Canis lupus familiaris: one gene and its partner. The protein of the gene in region 1 purifies or fractionates together with the protein of each later gene. This does not show direct contact. Links are inferred from orthologs where the notes say so. Each region holds a gene or a part of one and is shown in the gene's direction. Other genes may lie near its edges. The genes, in order: gamma-tubulin complex component 2 and MZT1.

What was found.
Region 2: the proteins of gamma-tubulin complex component 2 (region 1) and MZT1 purify together in Homo sapiens (affinity purification with mass spectrometry; 4 studies listed by BioGRID and IntAct, counting the BioPlex papers as one, with this or other methods). This does not show direct contact. The link is inferred for Canis lupus familiaris from reciprocal best matches to the Homo sapiens genes TUBGCP2 and MZT1.

Annotation. Positions count from the first base shown.
Region 1 is NC_049249.1:41,386,563-41,390,365, reverse strand, and holds part of gamma-tubulin complex component 2, read left to right. Parts: intron 1-770; coding exon 771-930; intron 931-2,978; coding exon 2,979-3,186; intron 3,187-3,683; coding exon 3,684-3,803. UniProt on the Homo sapiens protein: Component of the gamma-tubulin ring complex (gTuRC) which mediates microtubule nucleation.
Region 2 is NC_049243.1:26,981,522-26,985,846, reverse strand, and holds the start of MZT1 (mitotic-spindle organizing protein 1), read left to right. Parts: upstream 1-1,336; 5' UTR 1,337-1,453; coding exon 1,454-1,529; intron 1,530-1,565; coding exon of another isoform or gene 1,566-1,703; exon of another isoform or gene 1,704-1,729; intron 1,730-4,325. Other genes in the region: BORA (protein aurora borealis), read right to left, coding at 1-78, 1,566-1,703. UniProt on the Homo sapiens protein: Required for the recruitment and the assembly of the gamma-tubulin ring complex (gTuRC) at the centrosome.

The DNA of each region.
Region 1 (3,803 bases):
GCTTATAATTTTTTGTGTGCCTTTTTCTGTCTGTTACGGGTATTGCTTTATTCTGCTCTTGGTTCTTGTCCCGCCCTGGTCTGTGCCTTCCCGTGGTGGTGCCTCTGTGGCCTCGTGGGCCCCTCCGAGCTGACACCCATGAGGGTGTCACTGGAGCCTGTGCTCGAGTTCAGTGGCTCTGACACATCGGCACCTTATGTGTCCTCTCACTGCTGTCCCTTGTGACAGATGACAAGATAGTTGGCACCTGCCCTCTTGCTGGCCACCCTTGACCCTGGTGCTTCTAAAAGTCTGGCCCCTATGACTGCCCCGGTCAGCTTTTGGTGGCTGGTCCCACAGGAGGGCCTCTGCTCTGGGCACGTGCAGAGCTGGCCTTCCCCTGCCCTGGGGGACCCAGGTAGGGGCCCCCTTCTCTAGCTGGCTGTCACAGGGGCCTCATCTTCACTGCTCAGGTGACGTCTAGATTTCATGCCACCAGGGGAAAGCAGTTGAGTCTGTAGGTGCTCCCCAGAAGGGTGCAGTCCTTTGCTGGTGCTCCTGGTTGGCCTGTGGGTTCCGCACAGACTGAGCCCCTGATGACAGGTCCCTGTCTGGTCCTCAGCGCCTTGTGCCATGATGGGCATGGAGACCCTCACTTCATTTCTTCACGTGTCTATTGAACCCTCCTGCTGAGTGATTCAGGGATTGACTTTTCTAGTGTCACAGACGTCAGCTCTAAGTATTTGTACTAACAGTACGTTTCTCTTTATTTTTTAAAACATCCTCACCAGTCTCTGGAACTTACAAGAAAGTTGCTTCGAGATAAGCAGAACAAAAAAAATTCAGGCCAGCGCCTCCCCGTCTTCCCGCCCTGGGTATACGAGAGACCCACACTGGTTGGGGATTTCCTGACTGGCTCGGGCGTAAGCACGGACTCGGCTGTGCCCATAGGTATGTGGTGTGTTCGTTTCTACCACCCGGGCGCCTTTGAGCAGCGCGGGCCCTGTCCTCCCTGAGTGCTGGGTCTCGGTGGTGCCGGCTCTTATGTCCTTGCTGCGCCTGGATAGTCCTGTCTCTCCTCCCCTCCCCCACATTCTTTTCTACAGGGACTCTCGGGGCTGGCTCCCGGGTCTTCCTTGCCAGTTTCCCTCTTCAGGGAGGTCTTGTTTATTTTAAGGAATCATACCCCCCCCCCATTCCTGGATCTCTGCCCTCGGGACACCTCCCTGAATTGGGTCTCATGTGGCCATCTGCCTGTTGTCTTTGGTGGGGCTCCCGACCTTCCCTCTAGTGTCTCCACCTTTTGTGTGGTGACTCCTGTCACAGTTCATCGGGTCCTGGAGCTGGGGTGGGCGCCTGCGTTTGCTTCCTTCCCGCTGCACCAGCCCGGTCCCAGGTCCCCCACCTCCATCTGCCCCTCCTGTCCAGACACTGTCCTGCTCTCACTGCCTTGCGGCTCACCACTTCCCACCTCTCTGTTAGAGAATGTTCTGGATCTGCCCTACCTCGTATGGGGCCGGCAGCTGAATGTTGGCAGCGGGCATTGAGATGCCACTGGCGTGGCTGAGGATTGGGTGTTTAGCTTTCTTTCCGTTGGTGCAGGCGGCCGGAGCTGTGGAGCCTCACATCCTGCCTTGCCGCCCTGTGGCTGCCCATCATCCCAGAGCTAGCGGCCCTGAGCCTCAGGCCTGTGCCCCGCGTAGCCTCTCTGGACTCCCCAGACCCTGGTGAGCCGCAGAGACGCTGGTGGATTGGCCTCCTGGCCACACGTCCCGTACTGTATCCCCTCCTCCTGGCTGTCCCTGTCCCTTCAGAGCTCAGGCTCCAGGCTGCCTGTGCCACCGCAGCGGTTCCTCTCGGCCGGCCTCTTGCTGGCATAGCTTGCAGTGTCGTCCTTTTCCGTGGGTGGGCGGGGCCCTGGGGGGCAGCGGGGCATCTGCCCCTGAAGCCAAGGTTCCCACCCAGGAGCAGCCGACCCCGTGCTGCACCTCTTGCCCCCCCCACCCCCCCACCGAGTGCTCTGGGGGCTCTGACTGGGGTGGTGCTCGGCTTTCGAGTGAGTGGTGGCGAGGGTTGGCGGCGGGTCCTGGAAGGCACGCCTGTGCTTGAGAAGCCGGAGGCCGATCCTTGGGGCCCCCGTGGGAGCTGTGAGTAGGACAGTCCTGATGGCCTTCGCACTTGCAGAGAGAAAATGGAGCTTGAAGTCAGTGTGGCTCTGAATGCCACGTGATCCGGCCACACGGACAGGTGGCTGGTGTGCTCAGGGCCTGTGACCTCGGCAGGCCGGTGTGCAGGTGTGTGACGCCAGCAGTGCTTCTGTGAACTGGCACGTGCACGTGCGGGGCAGCACCATCCTGGGCTGCCAGCCCCGGTTCTCGGGTGCCGTGGGGCCAGCTGCGCAAAGCGGGGCTGTGTGGTGGTCTGTCCCAGCAGGCGTTGGGGAGGAGGGCGAGCGTTGTCCTGGGGCCGTGCAACAAGAGGGACAGGGAGCTGCCTGGGCCAGGAGGCATTTGGCGGTGGTCCTGGTTGGTGGCGTGTGACTGTCCTTGATTGGGTGGTTGTAGGAAAGCGCCTCCTGCGGTGCAGGCGTGCTGGAAGACTTTAAGGAAAGTCTTCATGTCCCTCAGCGGCCCAGACCCGAAGTCGTAACCGGTGCCGTAAGGACAGCGTGTGTCAGCAGCTCTCCTTCAGTTCCCTACTTCATCCTTTAACAGCCAAGCCTTCGTTTGTGTCTAGGGGGTTTCACGTCCCTGGTGCGTTAGGCTGTGGCGCAGCCCCGGCTCCGCCTGCCCTGTGCTCGTGGTGCTTCTGGAATCCCAGCCTTGGGGACCTCACTGGGAGGACTCAGATCCCAGGGAGCAGCCCGATGCTCGCACCCGTGACTATTTGAGGGACTAACAGAGAGAAACCAGCGGGGACGTGACTGGGTAGATTAGGTCAGCGGGAGTGGGGGGCCCTGCAGGTGGGGCCACGGCCCGGCTGATGTCTGCGGCCCACAGGCACGCTGCCCCTGGCCTCCCAGGAGTCGGCCGTGGTGGAGGACCTGCTCTACGTGCTGGTGGGTGTGGACGGCAGGTACATCACCGCCCAGCCCCTCACCGGGAGGCAGAGCCGCACCTTCCTCGTGGATCCCAACCTCGACCTGTCCATCAGGGAGCTGGTGAACAGGATCCTCCCGGTGGCTGCCAGTTACTCCACGGTGACCAGGTGGGTGCCCGACGGGACCTGCGGCTGGACACCGGCCTTCCCAGTGCTCTTGACCCCCGCAGCTTGCACTTTGTGTCTGTAAGCTCGTTCGAGTCCTCATCCGGAGAGCATCCGTGTCTTGTGACCTGCTTTCACACCCGACATGGTTTTGAAGGGCCTGGGACCAGTGCAGGGGCTGGTGTCTACGGGTTCCCTTCAGGGAGAAGACCTTGAGTGGGGAGGGGACTCCGAACATCTGACCTCGGAGCGCCGACTGTCCAGCCCTTGATTTCCACTCAGGTCGTGATCTCGGGCTCCTGAGATCGAGCCCCGGGTCGCGCTCCCTGCTCAGCGGGGTGTCTGCCTCTCCCTCTGCCCCGCCCCCTCCCCAGCTCATGCTCTCTCCTCCCCCAGATAAATAAATAGAATCTTTAAAGAAACCAAAAGGAACATCTGATTTCTGATTTGAAAATGTAGATTCCCGTGCTCACAGGACCCCGGTGCTCCGTTTCTCCCAGGTTCATCGAAGAAAAGTCTTCCTTCGAATACGGACAGGTGAACCATGCCTTGGCGGCCGCCATGAGAACCCTGGTGAAGGAGTACCTCATCCTGGTCACGCAGCTGGAGCAGCTGCAGAG
Region 2 (4,325 bases), on another chromosome or scaffold:
AACTGGGACCCTTCCTGGAGTTTCCGGTGTTATCTGCATTCCTGATTCTTTGACATCTCCCATAGCACAGAGAGAAAACTAAAAAAAAAAAAAAAAAAAAAAAAGGCATTATGAACAATAAAACTGGCACATTCCACATTCATTTTGACAACTAAAATGTATTCAACAAACATTTTGCATAAAGAACTCAAAATCTAATGCTCTTGGGTTGTTTATAGTTTACAAAAGGCATCACATACATTTTCTAAAGTGATCCTCGAAATAACCTTGAGGACTAGAGAGGTACGGGATATGATTAGGGATATCATTTTGCAGAAGATTTAAACTCAGAGAAGCTAAGAAGCACAAAAGTAGCAGTCAACCGCATATGAATGAGTTCAGGTCCGCTTTCGAAGCAACGAAGAGGCACAAGAGGCACAAAACTCTTTCCAACTAAAAGGCTATAGTTCCAACTAAAACCTATAGTTTCTTTATTCCTTATTTCAAGTCTCCAAACACTTAACATACTTCGGATATCCCAGCAATTGCCTATCAAACGACAGCTGCTAAGCCACAATTATTTGCAGCAGGCAGATATATACGAGACAAGGAAGCTTAAGCACGAGTGTCTTTCTTCCACTTTAGCCCCAAAGCACGGCTGATTAGGGCTAGGAGACTAACCGCCCTTTGGTTGCCTCTCCTCAAACATCCTCCTTGCGCTAAGACGTCCAGGGTAGAAGGCAAGATTGCATTACTTTCAGTCAAAGGGGGGTCGGCACGACTAGGGAGAAAGGATCCACTTCTGGAAGGCCGAAGCAGCTGGCTTCCTCGGGGGTGAAGAGCAGAGGTGGACACTCCAGCCAGTGTCACTCCCAGTCCTAAGCGATCACAGCTTGGCGCCCCCCCAGCCGCCCCCCCCCACACCCTCTTCCGCACCTATTCCCTCGCTGCTCCCATTCCCCCCGGGGGACAGCGGGCAGGTGGGTCGGCAAGGGAGGAAAAGGGAGCTCTCCAACTCAAGACAGGAGGAAAGGCCAGGGGCTACAAAGAACGTACCTAGTGGTGCGTATAAAAAAGGAAGCCACCCCAGTAGGCGACTCCAGGGCGCTCCCGGGGGGCCAGGCCAGCTCCCACGACAGGCATAGACTCTTTAACTCCCCGCTTCCGCGCTGTCTTAGGCCAACCAGCGCCCAGGCCCCGTGGGGGGACTGGCCAATCGCGTCGCGCCGCCGTCCGCGAACCAACCAATCGCATCGAGGCCGCGTAGCAAATTCGAACGGCAACTCCCCGCTTCGCATTCCGCGCAGAGTAACGAGGCTCCAAATTTAAATCAACGCAGCCTCACGCCGGCGACGAGCGCGAGGGGCGGAGCCTGCCCGGCGTGAGCGGGGGACGCGTGGTGTGATTGCCCGGGAGAGAGGCCGGCGCTCCAGTTCCGGGTCAGGCCCTTCTCCCGCCTCCCTCGGCCTCCGCCATGGCGAGCAGCAGCGGCCCCGGGGCGGCGGCGGCAGCGGCGGCGAACCTCAACGCGGTGAGGGAGACCATGGACGGTGAGTGCCCGTTTCTCCCCCTCGCCCCCCCCTTACCTTGTCTCCGTTTCCCCCAGCCAGGGCCCCCAGGCGGCGGGAAGCCAAGAAGGACTTGAGGTCCACTTCCGGCCCCGGTCGGCATCTTCGAGGATCCTCCCAGGGGATCCGCCGAGGCCGTGGCGCCGAGGGTGCCATCCTTCGAGAGCGCTCTCTGGGCTCCGGCGTGCTGTGTCGCGCGCACGGCGTTCCAGCCGCCACGTCAGCCGGGCGCGCGCGCCCCGCGCCTCACGCACGCCACGCGCCTCCCGCGCCTCACGCGCGCCGCCCGCTCCGCACCCGCTCCCCGCGCGCCTCACGCTGCGGCGGGCTCCTGGCGGCCTTTCCCGCGGAGCCGGCTTCGGGCGCCGCCCCCCCCCCCCCACCCGCGGCGGGGCGCCGTTTCCTCAGAGGCCCGAGCCGGAGGGAGCAGCCCTCGAGACTGCAAGCCCCGTGTGGAGAGCGGCCTTGTGCGTTTGGTCACCGCGATGTCCTTTGTCCCTGACGCTTGTTCACTGTGCGGCGAGCGGGCGAGGCGCCCCGCCCTCAGGAGCGCTCCGAGGCGTCGAGGAGCAGGTGCCGCCGGCGGCTGGGGCTGTGCGCCGCTTTACCTGTTTCCGCGGCACGTGGGTGGAACGCCCGCGCGCACGTGCTGGAAGACGACGGGCCCTGGAGTCAGGTTCTCTACCCTCGAATGAATGCCGGTTCTGACACTGTGCTCCCCTTCCGGGGGGGGGGGGGGGGGGGGGCAAGCTATGTAGACGTTTTGAGCCCATTTCTTTCTTTTCTATAAAGTGAGTTCACCTCCTCCTAAAAGGTATTTGTGAATATTTAAGACCACAAAGCAAAGGCGTATCAGAGGCGATAAAGCAAAAAATAGTTACCATGACCTTTGGGTTGTATTACATGTACATCCCACTACTTGCGGACTCCTCCTTTGTCTCCATTTTATTGCATCCTCTCATGGGTTTGATGGATGTTGAATGTTGCCCCCCCCCTTTTTTTTTTTTTTGCATTTTTCCGGGGGGTTACTAACATGAGTCTTCATCTCTATTGAAACATAACTCTGGGGGATACCTGGGTGGCTCAGCGATTTGGCGCCTGCCTTTGGCCCAGGGCGCGATCCTGGAGTCCCGGGATCAAACCCCACATCGGGCTCCCTGCATGGAGCCTGCTTCTCCCTCTGCCTGTGTCTCTGCCTCTCTCTCTCTCTCTCAAATAAACAAATAAATAAATAAATCTTTAAAAAAAAGAAAAAGGAAAGAAAGAAAGAAACTTTGCAGTTCTCAGTTGTGCCAGCCTTCCTGCTGAATCTCCCTGCCGGCTTCACTTACTGATACAGTCACTCCTTAAAGGGCTTTCAGTAAGATTTCTGGCTTTTTCTGCACAGGTTGCTGCTTTCCTTTGCATTCTTTTTTTTTTTAGGTTTTTAAAATTTATTTATACATGAAAGAGAGAGAGAGAGGCAGAGACACAGGCTGAGGGAGAAGCAGGCTCCAAGGAGGGAGCCCGACGCAGGACTCCATCCCGGGTCTCCAGGATCACGCCCCGGGCCGAAGGTGGCGCTAAACCGCTGAGCCACTGGGGTTGCTCTGCTTTCCTTTTCAAAGAACTATGTACATTAGAACATTTGCATCTAACTTTTTACTTACCAAGTATCTATTTTGCTGTTTCTCTGAAAAGAAAACAGACTTTATTCTTTAAAGGTTTTATTTATTTTAGAGGTGGAGGCAGAGAGAGAGAGGAACAAGGCTCTACTCCATCCCATGACCCTGAGATCAACCTTGAGCTGAAATCAGGAGTTGGATGCTCAACCCACTGAACTACCAGGCACCCCAGAATTTTATTAACATCGTATTCAGCCTATTTCCCATTCTTTCTCAGTGTACCACATTATAGGTTTCCCCAGCTATCTGGAAGCAGACTGGTCCCATGAAACGTTTCCTAAGCTGAAATTATGTAAAGTGAAGAGCCAATACGAATTGGAAATTTTTTTGAGCATTCTCAGACCCCAAAAAATAACCTTTCTTAGGGTTTTTTGATGCCCTAGGATACATCTTGTTAACAGATGCACAAAATAAATAGAGATAAAGCACAGATGCCCCCAGACACTAGTTTAAGGGTCTGGGAGCTTAATGGCAAGAGATTGAGTTTAGTTCCTGGGGAAGGAGCTTGGCAGTAACAAACACTAAATGCTGGGGTTATGTGCTGGCTCTAATGGCTTATCGTAAACAAACACTCAACACTATTTTCACTTTTTGCCTATTTTCATAAAAGCAAAAATTTATTGGATTTCTTTTGGTTAGCAAAAATAGCTACTAATGTATGGCTTCCATAAAAGCAAAGTGAAATAAGACAAACTTTCAAAAAGTGAGCGATGGTTATATTGTCTTACATCTTTGCTTGGAAGCCGGTGGGTCTTTTAAAGAATAGAGTATGAGGCCCCACTTCTGTCAATTTTCTTATGATGGCTATACCTAGGTTCCTCATTTATACGGCCGCAAAATCCTGTTTGAATGGAGAACTCCCAGTTTATCACTGGTGGAACTATTGATGTACAAATGAGAACTGACTATTGGTTGTGTCATCAATATTTTTACTGGGAGGAGTGTGTGTAAAATGAAGATTATTGAGAGTGAAAGAACAGGAAAAAGTGAAGAAATACAGATTTTTTAAAAAATAAAAATTGAGAGGCTCTATGACTTAGAGAACACTGCTCCTTCATATACAGTTAGTCCACAAACCTCAAGATAAAAAGGCCCCAGGTTGGCACTGAATCAA